Linked DNA regions of Sus scrofa. The main gene of each other region encodes a partner of the protein of the gene in region 3 in a complex. Links are inferred from orthologs where the notes say so. Each region holds a gene or a part of one and is shown on either strand. Other genes may lie near its edges.

What was found.
Region 1: the proteins of TLN1 (region 3) and PIP5K1C are in contact, whole or in part, in a crystal structure (PDB 1Y19), measured with the Mus musculus proteins. The link is inferred for Sus scrofa from reciprocal best matches to the Homo sapiens genes TLN1 and PIP5K1C. Residues at the interface, in NP_035732.2 of Mus musculus: Pro209, Val210, Gln211, Leu212, Leu214; in NP_032870.2 of Mus musculus: Pro646, Leu647, His648, Tyr649, Ser650, Ala651.
Region 2: the proteins of TLN1 (region 3) and APBB1IP are in contact, whole or in part, in a crystal structure (PDB 4W8P), measured with the Mus musculus proteins. The link is inferred for Sus scrofa from reciprocal best matches to the Homo sapiens genes TLN1 and APBB1IP. Residues at the interface, in NP_035732.2 of Mus musculus: Leu1492, Ala1495, Thr1496, Val1498, Ala1499, Thr1502, Ser1503, Cys1506, Asn1507, Arg1510, Val1526, Ala1529, Lys1530, Ala1533, Asn1534, Thr1536, Ala1537, Val1540, Ile1543, Lys1544, Asp1547; in NP_062329.2 of Mus musculus: Asn5, Ile8, Asp9, Met11, Phe12, Thr14, Leu15, Glu18, Met19, Leu21, Leu22, Ser25.

The regions. Positions count from the first base shown.
Region 1 is NC_010444.4:75,017,833-75,022,886, reverse strand, and holds part of PIP5K1C (phosphatidylinositol 4-phosphate 5-kinase type-1 gamma), read right to left. Parts: intron 4,080-5,054; coding exon 3,927-4,079; intron 2,517-3,926; coding exon 2,217-2,516; intron 1,145-2,216; coding exon 939-1,144; intron 1-938. UniProt on the Homo sapiens protein: Catalyzes the phosphorylation of phosphatidylinositol 4-phosphate (PtdIns(4)P/PI4P) to form phosphatidylinositol 4,5-bisphosphate (PtdIns(4,5)P2/PIP2), a lipid second messenger that regulates several cellular processes such as signal transduction, vesicle trafficking, actin cytoskeleton dynamics, cell adhesion, and cell motility.
Region 2 is NC_010452.4:49,168,873-49,173,926, reverse strand, and holds part of APBB1IP (amyloid beta A4 precursor protein-binding family B member 1-interacting protein), read left to right. Parts: intron 1-548; coding exon 549-708; intron 709-2,833; coding exon 2,834-2,955; intron 2,956-5,054. UniProt on the Homo sapiens protein: Appears to function in the signal transduction from Ras activation to actin cytoskeletal remodeling. Suppresses insulin-induced promoter activities through AP1 and SRE. Mediates Rap1-induced adhesion.
Region 3 is NC_010443.5:236,433,286-236,438,339, forward strand, and holds part of TLN1 (talin-1), read right to left. Parts: coding exon 4,750-5,054; intron 4,378-4,749; coding exon 4,169-4,377; intron 4,006-4,168; coding exon 3,907-4,005; intron 3,507-3,906; coding exon of another isoform or gene 3,456-3,506; intron 2,903-3,455; coding exon 2,735-2,902; intron 2,545-2,734; coding exon 2,250-2,544; intron 1,802-2,249; coding exon 1,635-1,801; intron 789-1,634; coding exon 660-788; intron 223-659; coding exon 106-222; intron 5-105; coding exon 1-4. UniProt on the Homo sapiens protein: High molecular weight cytoskeletal protein concentrated at regions of cell-matrix and cell-cell contacts. Involved in connections of major cytoskeletal structures to the plasma membrane.

The DNA.
Region 1 (5,054 bases), on a different chromosome or scaffold from region 3:
CCAAGTGCATGTGTGGGGACGCCACCCTCCTCCAGAGGCCCCATGAGGACTGAACAGGGTACAGAAGTGGGGGGCCCAGCTGGGTCCCAGCACGGTCAGTCTGTGGCGATAAGGGGACAATCTGGATATCTGTTTACTGCAACAGTTTCCACCTGGGGAGACTCTGCTCCCAGGGGACACTGATAATGTCTGGGGGACCTCTGGGGTTGTCACAACTTGGGGGCTCCTGGCATCGAGTGGGTGGGGGCCAGGAATGCTGCTCTACCCCCCATGGCGCCTGGACTGCCCCCAGAAAGGGACTCATTCCTACAAGTGAGCAGCTGGGGAAGAGGGGGTACCCTGTACCCAGATGGGAACTCTGCAAGTCCCCAGAGCAGGACCAGGTCAGCTGGGTGGGTGGGGCTGGGGGACATGTGCCTCTCTGAACACTGTGCCCTGGTCACCCCTCAGAGCCACATTGTCATCATCATCTTTGGGAAAGGGACATTCTCAGCCCTGCCCCTAGGGGGCGCTGGGTTCACTATCCTGCCATGAAAAGGCTCCCTCACCAGGGCTGTTTCCACCTTTTCCCCAGCCCTCTTTCAACACCTCTCCAGTTCAGCTTCTGAAGGCGGTGCTTTAACCGATGCTGGGTCCCCAGGGAGGGAGGGCTATCTGTGTTTCCCACAGGGATGGTCAACGACCTTTTCCACTGAGTAATCCAGACGCCACGGTTAGAACTTCTGGCTGCAGCTGTGTGTCCCCCGTCCAACCCTTGGACCTGGAACGGGGCGGGGTGGGGGCTACTGTCTGGTTTACAACCAAGAACCCACTCGAGGGGCTCCGGGACTCGGTCTCGTCCCTCTCGCCTTCTCACCAACTCGCCCCTCCCTCTGTCGCCTGGCGAGGGAGCAAGGGCGGAGACGAGAGCGGGAAGTCTCCCGGTCCCCACCACCTACGTGTCGTCTGTCTCGATGGCCTCCCCACGTGCCGCCCCGCCCTGGATGGACTCCATGGCCGTGGAGTAGAGCGCCTTCTGGCCCAGCGGCCGCTTCTCATCGGCGGTGCTCTGGGCGCCTTCAGCCTGCCGCTCCCGCTCCTGCTGGTCGATGTTGTGCACGCCCAGAAGCAGGCTGTAGTCCATGATCTTGAAGCTCTCCAGCACCTACGGGGCAGCGGTCAGGGGGATGCTCTGACCCCACACCCCACCCCGGCCTGGCGCCAACCCCAAGCGCATTCCTGGTCTGTGTCTGCTCAGTCCCCACAGCCTCACCGGGAGGCCCCGTCCTGGTCTCAGACCAGGCAACCGAGAGGACACAGAGGGTCAGTGGAACCTGGTGGGTGGGCCTGGGGTGTGGCTTCTGACCCAAAGCCAGGCTGCCTCTGGGCTGGCCCTGCACACATACAACCCCCACCAGCCCTCCGGCCACCAAGCCTCTCCAAGCCCTGAGGTGCAGCCCAGACACACAGACACCGGAGCTCTGAGGAGGGACTCCAAGAAGCTGGGGGCCCCTGAGATGTCTGGGGAGTTTGTGTCAAGTTTCCAAAGGGGTCTGGGAGCCAGGGGTGCAGCACAGGACTGCACCCCTGGCCTCCTTCATTTCCTCACCTCTAAGGCCAAGGCGGGTAGGGGTGGACTGAGGTCGCAAGGCCTGTGACCAACCTGGCACACGCTCTTTTTCCCTAAAAAGCAGCTGGCCATGGAGGGGTGGCCTGCAGCCCGCTTGGGCCTGCGTCTGAGGTGCACTTTACATCAAGAGCCTGAAAACACTGGGCTGCTTCTGAGGCTCTGACGCCTGCAGCAGGAACTTGGCCTGCGGTGGGGCTGGGGCGGGGTGGGGGTTGTGGATCTCGGGCTCACACTGCACCAGCTTTTACTAGAGTCTCCCCCCACCTTTTATTTGGTCTTTTGTCTTTTTTTTTTTAGGGCCACACCCGTGGCATGTGGAGGTTCCCAGGCTAGGGGTCTAATCGGAGCTATAGCCACTGGCTTACGCCAGAGCCATGGCAACGCCAGACCCGAGATGCATCTGTGACCTACACCACAGCTCACGGCAATGCCGGATCCTTAACCCACTGAGCGAGGCCAGGGATCAAACCTGCAACCTCATGGTTCCTAGTCAGATACGTTTCCACTGTGCCACGATGGGAACTCCTAGAGTCCCCGTTTGACAGGTGGGAAAACTGTGACTCAGAGATGGAGGGACACATCCCCAGCGATCCAGCCTTCTCCTCACCAGGCAGTCGCGCTGCAGCGTCTTGACCAGGGCGGAGAAAGTGTCAGCGTCGAGCATGAGCCCCTCGGGCATATCCTGGATAAAGTCCAGGTCCTTGTAGGTGGGGATGCTCTTCTCCTTCTCCTTCTTGCTGGCCCGCCGCTTGTATGTGGAGCCCTTGAGGTCGAACTTGAGGTGCATCTTGACCACGCGTGGCAGCACGTTGTTCATCACCACCACGCGGATGTTCTTGCCACCCGACTGCACGCAGTACAGCCCGTAGAACTTGGGCAGCAGCGTCCTCGGGTTCTGGTTGAGGTTCTGGGGAGACAGGGCAGGGGGCAGAGGGTGGAGGAGATGACGCTGGGAGCCGCTCCTGCATCCTGTGCAGCACCCCGTCCGCCCCTCACGTCTCAAGAAGCACCCCCTAACCACCTCCCCCAGGCTGGCCCCTCTCAGTGCCCCGAGTGCCCCATCTGTCCGCAGGTTCTGTCTGCTGGCCGCACTCTCCATCTCCCCATCTGACTGGAGGCATCAGGAAGGTCTGTTTCTAAAGTCAGGCCTAAGGAGAGACGGCCTTTTGATAAAGGGCCCCACGGGACACTCCCAAGGTATCTGGGCTTGGCTTCCCAGCAGGTTGGACGCAGGTGTCCCATCTCCCTAGCCTGCTCTACAGGGACCGGAGAGGGAGGTACTGCATCCAGGCATATGCAGGGCATGCGTCAGCAAACTCTGGCCCAAGGGCCAAATCCAGGCCACTTGTCTTTCTACAGCTGGGAGTTAAGAAAGGTTTTATATTCTAAAAAAAAAAAAAAAAAAAAAATATATATATATATATATATATATATACATATACACACATATTTTTTTTTAAAAAAAGGCCAATAACACTGAAGAAAAATAGCGTCCTATGATGTGAAAATTATACAAAATGCTCACATCAGTGCCCACAAATACACTTTTATTGGCCCTCGGCCACACCCACTCACTCTCGCCTTGTCTGTGGCAGCTTCCCCACTGCGACGGCAGAGCAGTGGACACAGTCTCACAAAGCTCACAATGCTGAGGATGCTTCCTACCTGGATCTTTACGAAAGAAGTTTGCCGACCCTCAGTCTAGGACAGCCAGGGGTCCTACCTGGGATCACACATGGCAGGGGTAGGTGGAGACCCCACAGGAGATACGGGTGCAGAATGCTGGGGGCCGGACCCCATGCCCACCAGGCTAGGCTCAGTGGGAGGCCCCCACCCCATCCGTTGTATCAGCCCCCCACCGCTGGGGGCCAAGAAGTCTGAGGCCCCTGCTCCCGCCCCCGCCCAGGGCCCTAAGTGCAGAGTGCCCTTTCTGTTGGTGAGTCACATGCAGACAGGAGGTGCCAGCTGGCAGGCACCCCTGCCCACCTCCCCAGTGTCTCTCTGAGTCACCAGCTGCCAAGATATGAGTCCCAAAGCCATGATTTTGGGGACCCACAAGTCAAGGGACTGGGTGGTGATGGATGGCCACCAGGACCCAGATGGCTACTCCTGCTCACCATGGAGGGGGCCCCTTGGGTGAGGCTATGACCCAGGAAGGCATGTCTTGGCCTGCCCAGAGGGGGCGTTACCCAGAGGGGGTGTCACCCCGAGGGGGTGTCACCCAGAGGGGTTGGTGCCCAGAGTGGGTGGTGGCCCAGGCTGGCTGCCTGGGCAGAGGGAGAAGGGGTGTGAGACCTGTGGGGGGTCATGCCCCTACCATGTAGTATCCAGGCAGCAGCTTTTGCAGGAACTCAGCCTCCTTATGCATCACAGTCTTGATGATGAACTCATCGTCGCTGGTGACATAGAAGAGGGAGCCGCTGGCACCAGGGTTGGACAGCTCGATGAGTGGCTCATTGCACAGCGAGTACTGAAAACGGGGGCAGTGAGGAGGCGGGGTGGGTCATCGACACCCCCAGGGGCCCAGGGGATGGAGGACAACCCTGGAAGTGGTCACCGCGGCTCTGTTTTACAGATGAGGATGCTGAGGCTCATCGAGGGGGACAGACTTGTCCAAGGCCACACGCAAGGACTCAAACCCGGGCTAACCCTGCAGCCCGAGTGCCAACCTGCTAGATCGTGTTCCCTGTCCTGTGAGCTGTGACTGCCTCCCAGGCCCCTGCTCTGGCCAGTGAGTCATAAACACAAGCTGCTACTCGGGGTCTGGGGAAGGTTGCCTAAAGGGGTGGCAGAAGCTGGGGCGCCTCCTGTTTGCACCCCTCTCTCCTTCCCACCTGGAATGCTACCTGGGACCCAGCAACCATACTGGACCACATGGTGACCTTGGGGATGGAAGCCAGCCACCAGGAACAGCAAAGACACAAAGACACAAGCTGTGCATCTGGTGAGCTGCCTCCCCCAGACCCTCCCACCTCTCTTCCCACCTTCGCATCCCCAACACCCAGGTTCCACCTCCGTGTTTACTGCCCACCATTAGACAGCGATTTTGTTCACATTAACAAGAGGGGTCCCCAGCACATATTCCAGTGTCTGGCTCAATTTGTTAAGCAAATGAGTGAAAAGCAAGGCCTGCAGGCTTCTTCGGCTGAGTCAATGAAGTACTTTTGGGGGTTAAGGCTGTCTAGATCAAATTTTCTGTCCTCTGACCCTCCCCAAATCCCCTTTTTCAGCCACACCTGTGGCATGTGGAAGTTCCTGGGCCAGGGATCAAACCTGCATGCAAGATGCAACCCGCACCACAGCTGCAGCAATGCTGGATCCTTTAACCTGCTGAACCACATGAGAATGTCCTGAACCCCCAAAACCCAAATGAATACTACTGGTACATCAGTGTGGGAAGACAGACTACCTTTCCAACCCACAGAGAAAAGCAAGGAGACACCCA
Region 2 (5,054 bases), on a different chromosome or scaffold from region 3:
CTGTGACTCCACCTGCCTTCTCAGTAAGACCCCTCGGTGACACTGTGTCACCCTGTACCCCCCCACACCTTCAAAGAATTGTAGATTAACTAGTTTGCTTTTATCTGTGTCTCAGAACTCCTGGGTTACATGAAATGGGACTCAACTGCAGTTAAGCAAGAGCGAAGTATTTATTATAAAGATACACGCTGCTTCTGGGCTGCGGGACGAACAAGTGCTAGAAAGATGTCAGGAAGGCAGGCAGTCAGCACTTCTTTGGTTCTCTTGGTTTTCTGTCTCCCTCACCAGAATACAGAGTCTTTGAAGTCTAGACAAGGGCTTTGCTTACTCTGTGTTTATTTCCATTTTTGCAAATTGGTTTCTCTACATCCATATTCGTAGCACCTTACACAAGTGCTTGTCATATGAGTGAATTCATACTGGATGCGTTTGCGGGACACCTTCTTACTTAAATTCACAAAGGCAGTGTCATTTTTGAAAGCTTAACCTTCATGGATAGCCTTTCCAGTTGCTGGCATTTACTGGCTTCCCTATGACTTTGCCCTCAGCTCGTTGTCAAGGTACACATGAATGATAACAGCACAAAGTCGCTGATGGTGGATGAGCGGCAATTAGCCCGAGATGTCCTAGACAACCTTTTTGAGAAAACCCACTGCGACTGCAACGTGGATTGGTGCCTTTATGAAATATACCCAGAACTACAGATCGGTAAGTCCCATTCCCAGCGATAGGCTGCACCCCCACACACTCCCACCCCACCCCCGCACAAACCTGTGACTTTACTCTGGGTTTTGGTCTGTTCCTGAGAAGAGTTTGGTTCAAGGCTATCCAGATTGCCCACACAATCACTTTCCTTATGTCAGGTTCAGTGCTTGTCTCTTCATTTGTGGTGAAGAGACTCAGATTGGAACAGGTGGCCAGCCAGACCTTGGGGAATGTAAGTGTTACTGCTGCAACTGCCCTGGTGGATGCAAAGGGAAAGAAAGTGGCAGGATGATGCTTCTGACTGCATGCTTAGCAAGCTGAGCAGATGGGTGGGGGCCTGCGTATCTGTCAGCCAATGCCTCTTTAGAGTTTGCTTTTTTAAACTATAGGGTCAGTCTGCCATGGGTGTCATATCACTGTCCATTTCCTCTCCCCACTCACTCAATTTCTGATCCCTTCTAGTGGAAAAGCCTCAGCCCCCATAAAACAAAAGACAGTTGATAGAAATTGATGGAGTTAAAAGAAAAAGTTAAACAGAAATAGACTCACAGACACAGAAAACAAACTTATAGTTACCAAAGGGGAAAAGGGGGGGAGACTAAATTTGGAATTTGGAATTAAGAAATATACACTACCATATATAACATAGATGAACAGCAAGGACCTACTAGATAGCACAGGAAACTGTATTCCATATCTTATAATAACCTATAATGGAGAAGAATCTGAAAAAGTACATATATATGTATGACTGAGTCATTTTGCTATACACCTGAAACATTGTAAATCAGCAATACTTCAATAAACAAAATAAAAAATTGGAGTTCCCACTGTGGCACAGTGGATTAAGGATCTGGTATTGCTGCAGCTGTGGTGTAGGTTGCAGGTGCAGCGTGGATTCAGTCCCTGGCCCAGGAACTTCCATGTGCCATGGATGCAGCCAAAATTAATTAATTAAAAAATTTGAAAAAGTTACCCCCCAAAAATCCTTGAAATAAAGGAATATCTGAAAAGAAATGAATTATAAAAATACTGTTTTAATGCTCATTCTTTTTTTTTTTTAGAGCTGCACCCTCAGCATAGAGAAGTTCCCAGGCCAGGAGTCCAATCAGTGCTACAGATGCTGTGTGCTGTGCCACAGCCACAGCAACCCAGGATCCGAGCCACATCTGCAACCTACACCACAGCTCACGGCAATGCCAGATCCTTAACCCACTGAGCAAGGCCAGGGATCGAACCCACATCCTCATGGATACTGGTCGGATTCATTTCCATGGCGCCACAGTGGAACTCCTTGCTGCTCGTTCTTAATACCACTCACAGAAAAATCTGTCCCCACCCCCCACCCCCCACCGGGGGAGCTTGTTGGATACAGAATTGCCAGTTTTTAAAGCTGTGGGGGAAATGGTCTACACTGAAACACTTCTTGACGTTTTCAACTCCCTGACTCAAACGGAAATGAAAGCCCTCTAAAGGAAGGTTTAGCGTTGATTCCAACAGTTGTGCATTCTTTTTAGAGTTTTAGGGATCGGTATTTATAGTACTCATCACTTATCTGGCAATTTCGTTCATAGTTATCTGACTAATTATTGCCTCTCTGCCTTCCAGATAGAATGTTACCTCCACCTGGGACTATTTCAAATAGTCAAAGGTTCTAATATGGAGTTCCCTTCCTGGCTCAGCAGTAACAAACCTGACTAGTATCCATGAGGACACAGGCTCTATCCCTGGCCTCACTCAGTGGGTTAAGGATCTGGCATGGCCATGGCTGTGGGGTAGGCCTGGCAGTTGTGGCTCTGATACGCCCCCTACCCTGGGCACTTCCATATGCTGCAGGTGCAGCCCTTAAAAAGAAAAAAAGTTCTAATATGGAAAAAAGAGCAGTGGCTGACCATTTTCAGTATATTGTAGGTTCAACTGCCATGTTTTCTATGGAAAATAAGTTGAAGACCTGAGACCAAAGAATAAACATAAGAGAAACATTACAATGTAACATCATGTAAGACTGAGGAATTTCTGAGAACCCAGGAGAAGTATGAAGCCTTGTGTTAGCTAAGTACCAGCTTATTTCTCTGTTAGAAACTCTGATGTCTTGGGTCTGAAAGAATGCTTTTTCTTGTTTCATCAGAAAGGTTTTTTGAAGACCATGAAAATGTTGTTGAAGTCTTATCAAACTGGACAAGAGACACAGAAAATAAAGTGCTGTTTTTGGAAAAAGAGGAAAAATATGCTGTATTTAAAAACCCCCAGGTAAGAGAACTCATATATTGTTAAAACATGTAAAATATCCATTTTTTTAATGTCACCTGTGTCCTCACCACATCTCACGAAATATCACAAATACATTCCTTTCACAGAAACACAAACTCAGTTCTTAGGCCAGAGGCAAACTAGGAACCCCTTTGAGAGAGAATCATTTCACCTCTTTTGAGTCAGCTTCCAGAATCCACCTCTCCGTTGACTGATCCTCCTCTCTTGTCCTTATATCTGTTTGGCTGCAATGTCTGCTGATGCACTCTGAGCCATTAACACTCTTATTTTAAACCTACCCTTTCCTTTGTTGTTCATATTTGGTGCTTATTGATGTTGGGATATGTAAAGAGAGTGCCCAGAAGATGTACGGCTCTACACACAGTCTACAAAGGAAAAAGCCTTGTTCTCCATATTTGAAAAAGCTTCCTCAAGCCCTGCATACAAGGGTGTCCCAGACTTGCCCCGTGGTTGTCCCCAGCCAATGGTAATTGTGCACGGTGGGCAGCGAAGTTTAGTCGGAGAATGTTACCTCCTAGCACTCACCTAGGAAATTGGTTAGAGTTAACTAGGTGAAGAGTGGATTGGAATCGAGCCTTCCAGGAGGGGGTGTGTGCCGAGTCCAAGAGGAAAGAGGGGAGTTCCTTTAGGTCCTGGGTAGTTGTACAGCTGGACCATGGGGGCGGGAAGACAGGGAGTGACAACACGTTCAGATAAACTGGTGGAAAGAAATTGATTTGAAATAGTATATTGGTTAAAATTAAAAAAATGAAAAAAAACCAGGTCAAAAATGAATGTTTCCAGTCATGAGTTCATGCAGTCATGACTGCATGAGATTTATTTAAAATATATTTTCTGGCTGCTTGCTCAGTTTCTGACATTTTGTTATTTTAAAAAACTCCAGGCTCAGGAGTTCCCTTCATGGCTCAGCAATTAACGAACCTGACTAGGATCCATGAGGACACAGGTTCGAACCCTGGCCTCACTCAGCAGACTAAGGATCCGGTGTTGCCGTGAGCTGTGGTGTAGGTCACAGACACAGCTCGGATCTCGTGTCTCTGTGGCTGTGGTTTAGACTGACAGCTGTAGCTCCGATTTGACCCCCAGCCTGGGAAACTTCCATATGCCATGGGTGCAGCCCCCCCCCCAAAAAAAAGCAAAAATAATAATAATAAATAAATAATGAAAAATTTTAAAATCCGGGCTCAATCACCTGTGCTTACTTTGCCTGTATAGTTGTATTCTATTCTAAATTTCTTTTCTATAACGCTGCATTTTCTTGCCACCATTGGATTCAGCTTTGTGGTCATGATTGAGCTTGTTGCATGGAGTCTGCCCCACTCCTTGTGGGTGGAAAAGCTGAAGTCTAAGGTTCATTCTTGCAGAAAAATGATTTATCGAAATGCAAATGGTGAGTGAAATGCCATTCGCGGAAGGTTATGGTTTGATGGAAAATTCTGAAGCCACTAATCGCAGCCGAGGGTGGTGTTCACTGTATTCAGCCTGTGATGTGTTGTGTTTGTTTCCACCATCCCAGTGTGAGTCAGAGCTGGCGGAGGCCTGACCCCACTTAGGACGCATGGATGCTGGAACAGGTCCTGGTCTTCCTGGCTGGCCGCCGTGGCCTTAGGCCATTGGTTTACGCTCTCTTCACTCCCCAGTCCTTCACCACAAGCCCCAAAACTTTAGGAACAGATGCCAAGCAAGCCTAATTGGCTAAGAACAATATAGAGATAAAATGATAAACCTTGAAAAAATGCTGACAAATGGCCCAAAAGACTTAAAGAAGCATAAAAACTAAGCACTCCTAAATACTGAGTGCATCTGAATCCCTAAGACCTGAAAAATAAGTGCCAGGGGACATTTTGAACCAATGCGTTGTTTCTTTAGGAGTCGAGCGTTGGTGGTATAGTGGTTAGCATAGCTGCCTTCCAGAAGTCGTTAGCAGCACTCCTCGGCCAAGAACCAGGGGAAGGACTTGTAGAGAGAAGGTACAGAAGCCAAGAAAGGAAATTATTTGATTGACTAGAGCTTAAAGCCTAGTCGCGATTGACTACTTGTGATTGGGCGACCTTAGGTTTCAATTTTGTAACCCTCCA
Region 3 (5,054 bases):
CAGCCTGTTGGTGAAAAGGTTATGAGAGCCACTTCCCCACAGGCGGGGGGACTTCCCCCTCCCCACAGGCCGCCTCCCGCCCCCGCATGCTTCCTGGCATCTCACCTTGCAGCTCTGCACCAGCAGTGGCTGGGGGCCAGCTGTGGTCTTGGGGGTGGAGGCAGCATGTTGGGCGGCAGCGATGGTCTGTGTAGCCGAGGCTGCAGCCTGCTTGGCTGCGTGCTTTAAGGGCAGAATAGTGAGGACAAGGCCCAGACATTCCCATACCTGATCCTTGGCTTACCCTGCCCACGATATCCCCTAAGGAAATTTTCTTTTTTTTTTTTTTTGCTTTTTAGGGCTGCCCTCGCGGCACATGGAGATTCCCAAGCTAGGGGTCTAATCGGAGCTACAGCTGCCAGCCTACGCCAGAGCCACAGCGACACCAGATCTGAGCCATGTCTGCGACCTACACCACAGCTCACGGCAATGCCGGATCCTTAACCCACTGAGTGAGGCCAGGGGTTGAACCTGCAACCTCATGGTTCCTCATCAGATTCATTTCCGCTGCGCCATGACGGGAACTCCCTCCCCCAAGGAAATATTAACCCTTTCTCCACACATCCCTCCCAGGTTCATTCCTCCTACAGCACCTACACTAGCCTGTTTTCCAGCCTCACCTCCAGGCGCTGCACCAGCTTCTTCTTGATGGCATTCTGTGCAGCCACGTTGGTCGCCATGCGGAGACCTTCAGCTGCTTCGCGAAGGCGCTGCTGCTGCTCCTCACTGTCAGGATGGGCGGCTGCTCCCTGAGAGGTGGTGGGAGGGACAGTTACGCCCAGCATCTCTGTGGATCCTCAATAAGCTCTTCTCTGACCCCTCCAAACTCAAGTATATTTTCCTGAAATCATTTCTAACTATCCCCGCTGAAAGGTGGTTGAGATGGGCTGCCTCTGGTGGGCAGATGGGGAGCCTCGGGGGGACCCTGGCTTCCATCTGTGATGCTGAAAGCCCTTCCTCAGGTAGAACTGTTTGTGCTTCCCCGCTTTAGGGAAGGGGCCAGATTTCTTCCTCACTCCCCACAAAATACTACTGCAAACGGGGATGAGCAGGGCTCTCTGGAACAAGGAGGACACAGTTTAGAGCAGGGATCTCAAGGGTCCGATAGCAGGGGCCCTGGTTGTTCCTGCAAACTGAAGAGCCCCAGAGCCCAGGAATCTTTTGGCTTCTTCCTCATGGTCCTCTGCAACCTTGTGTCCCTGTGTCCGACTGCCTTGTCCTTCTCTGTGCGGCTAGCGCGGAGCCCCCAGGACTAATGCTCGTGTGCATTCACAGAAGCCCAGGAAGCAGAGGGATCCAGGAAGCAGGCAGGTGGTGGCAGCAAAGTAGGGGAAAGTAGGAAGTGCAGACCTTGGACTCAGAAGGAAAAGGGCACTGTTTCCCGTTCGTCAGTGAGGACTCTGGGCGTTACACTGGCTGGCAGCCTGGCGCCACCCGCCCGCTGCCTAGGGTGCATTTACTCCCTCAGTGCTCCCATATGTGCTGTCTTGTATCTTCTGCTTTTCCTGGGTCTCTCCCGTAAATGGGGGTGACCATCGGGACCTTTCTACTTCCCTCCGGGCCCCGGTCTGGGGTCTGCACAGAAGGCTCTCTACCTTGGCAGCCTCCACCATCTTGGCTGTGGCGTCGGCCAGGATCTTGGCGGCGCTTAATAGCTTGCGGGAATTCTCCAGATCGCTCTCCCCCTCGGCATCAGCCTTGATGGCATTGACCAGGTCAGAGGTGGCTTGGGCCAGGATGCGCGCCTGTCGCACCATCTCACCTGAGACACACAGGCAAAGTCAGAGAAGGGAGCAGAGACACTGAGAGGGTGTTAGAGAGAGGGACGTGGTGCAGATGAGGCCAGTGGGGCTCTTAGGGATAGTCAGGAGAGACAAAAAAGTTCTTGAAGTGACTTCCCTGGAGTTATGAGAGGATGAGGCTCTTGGTGAAGGATTTTGGGGGTGAAGGAGTGGCGTAAGGGCAGCTAACTCTTAATAAAGCCACTTTCTCTTTTTGTGTACACTGTGGTTTGTTATTTAAATGCACCAAGGAAGGCAGAGAGATTATATTCCTGTTTTACATATGGGGAACCAGCTGGAGGTTTCAGCTGTTCAACACCCAGCCTGCTGTGCTGAGTCAGGGGGAGGGGGGTGGATCTGCAAGGGAAATGTCCAAGGGGCCTGGGAACCTCGTTGGGCTCTCTGTCTCCTGGGGGAGAGTGTCCTTACCAGCATCGCCCATGGAGCTAAAGATGTTCTCAGTGACAGTGAGAATGGTGTCAGTGGCCTGGTCATAGCGGCCAGCAGGCCCGGCCCCTGTGGCGTGGGCCCTCACGTGCTGCAACAGCTCATTCAGGGCCTGGGTGACAGCTGTGGCTGCCGCTCCCACTCCTCGCAACAGCTGCCCATCTTCTGTGGCGGCCTGGGAGGCGGACACACAGCCCTCCACGGCTTTGGCCACTAGTCGACCGGCTTCCACCAGCTGTTCTTGGCAGACAGGGGAGCTGATCGTAGGTGCCACCACCTGTGGGCAAAGCGAGTGTCAGAGAGGTAGACGAGGGCAAGGAGTCGGGAGGGTGGGGTGTTGATGGCCTTCACAACAGTCATTTGTTTGGGTAGTGAGGCCTCGGGGACCAAAGTGATAACATGAGAGGCTCCCGTATGTGTGACAGCATCACCCCTCAGCACAGGCTGGAGCAACCTCTGGGGCTCACCTTGGTACAGGCCACCAGCTGGGAGGTGGACAGGGCACACTGTGTTGCCGCAGCAATAACCTGGGTCTGAAGCCCCGAGTCCTCTGTGCGCTGGGCCACACTCTTGGCCTTGAGGACCAGGGCAGCTGCAGCGCTTGCCACAGCCTTGGCTAGTTGCATGAGCACGTCCTGTGAGAAAGCAGCGGTCAGCACGGCCTGAGATCCACCTTGGGTTCCACAGACCCTCCTTGGAGGCATAAGCGGTTTCATTAATCCCACGGACTCCAATCACAGCACCGTATGTGCAGAAGCAACCGGAACCTACCCCAAGCCCCTGCCTCGAGCACCGAGTAGGACAGAACCCCCACCGAGGAACAAACCCACACCGAGAGAAACAGAGCCTACACCAAAGGAAGAGATGCATGAGGCGGATACACTCGGACGGCGATGGGGAGGGCAGGCGGGCAGTGCTGTTTCAACGGGACAGACGGAGGAGGGACCTCTGGGGTCCCCCCTGCCCCTAGCGTCTTTCCTCCGCTTCGTCTCAATCTTGGGTAGAAGCAGTCACCCCGGGGAGCAAGTCTCTACCCTCCCTGATCCCATTTTCTCAAGTCCTGCCTGTGCCGTGCCTCCCCAGCTCCCGTCACGGTCTGCTCCCCCAGGAGGCCTGGGGAGGGGGCAGAGCGAGTGTATGCGGCTCAGAGAGGACAGAGCTGGGAAGGTCCAGGCCAGAGGCCATTACCGTGGGGGGATCGGGGGGAGATCGAACCCCAGCCCCTCTGGGTGCACATATCTGCGTGGGAAATCCAGGATGACAAATCAGCTGAGGACACTGGCAGGGGGTGGGGAAGGGGGCACGAGAGGAACAGTGTCCTCAGGGCATGTGGCCTAACGGATTGGAAGAGGGGGTCCGAGATGCCTTCAGTTGGGCAAGACAGGGAAAGATGACAGGCGGCCAATAAAATATCACCAGTAAAGGCCAAGGGTGAACCTACAGATTAAGTTTGGATTTAGGGGTTCGGAATTCTTATCCCCCCAAAAGGGACGGGAGGTTCCCAGTGTCATCCCTGGAGACAGAGGTTCAGCTTGGCTCCGAGGGGTCAATTTATCGTAGCTGAGGACGAGCAGCTGGATTCAGGATCAGAGGTCACCTCCTAGAAACTGGGGTTCTGGGGGTTGGGTAAGTCACCAACCTGGAAGTGGGGGTCAGTATCACTTTCCCCAATTTGCTGCAACAGCTCCCCACTGGCCTGGCCCACGTTCCCAGCTGCTTGCAGCAGGTTCTGACGGGGCTGTGGAGAGTGAACACCAGTCAGAAGCTGCCCGATCCCCACCCACAGGTCCTCAGGTCCTACAGGCCCAGGGGTCTCGTACTTCCACCCCACAACCTGGACCGCCCTCCTCTCCTTGGGCTCAAACCCTCGCCTCTCCCTAGTGTCCACCCCTGGCCCTGACCTCAGCACTGGCCGGCTGGGCGGTGCGCAGCAGTTCCGACACTGCCCCAGCCAGGCCCTTCGCTGCCTGCAGCAGGGGCCGGCCACTGCCACCTTCATCCTCCAGCAGGGCGGCCAGCAGCTTCACGCCGCGGGACATCTCCGTCAGGTTGGAGGAGATTGTGGTGACTGCGCAGCCCACCGCAGTGTAGTCTGTCTCGGCGGGGTCCCCTGGGGAGTGGGGGAAGAGGAGCACGGGTGAGGGGCAGGGCAGGAGAGGCGACGGTCTAGGGAGGAGCACAGTCAGTTTCACACACACACACGTCCTGAGATAGACGCACACACAGTCCCTGCCATGAGTCATGCTGCAATCACACCTGAGCCACTCGCAGTCACACTTGCAGAGTCACTTAGACACACACACACACACACACACACACACACGTCCTGAGATAGACGCACACACAGTCCCTGCCATGAGTCATGCTGCAGTCACACCTGAGCCACTCGCAGTCACGCTTGCTCACGCTTGTGCATGCTCACGCACGCTCGCCCTCCCCTCCCCTCCCGCACGGCACACCAAGCTCCTGGCACCCGGCCTACCCGCTGTCAGGTTCACCACCGAGGCGGTGCCGGCTGTGATGGCGTCTACCTGGGAGTGGATTTCGTGCTTCGATTCGTCCATCTTGTTCTTACGCCAGGCTTTCGAGGCCTGAGAGAACGAAAAACCAGCCTCAGCATGGGCTCTGCTCCAGTCAACCCAACCCTGCTCCCTGGAGTCCCAGCTTCGGGACCGGCGGCCTGGCCTCCAGCCCATACTCACGGCATCCTGGCCCAGAGGGGGGAGGGTGTCAAAGTCGTCCAGGGTGGCCTGGGCAGCCTGCACAGCCTGCATGCTGGAGTTGATG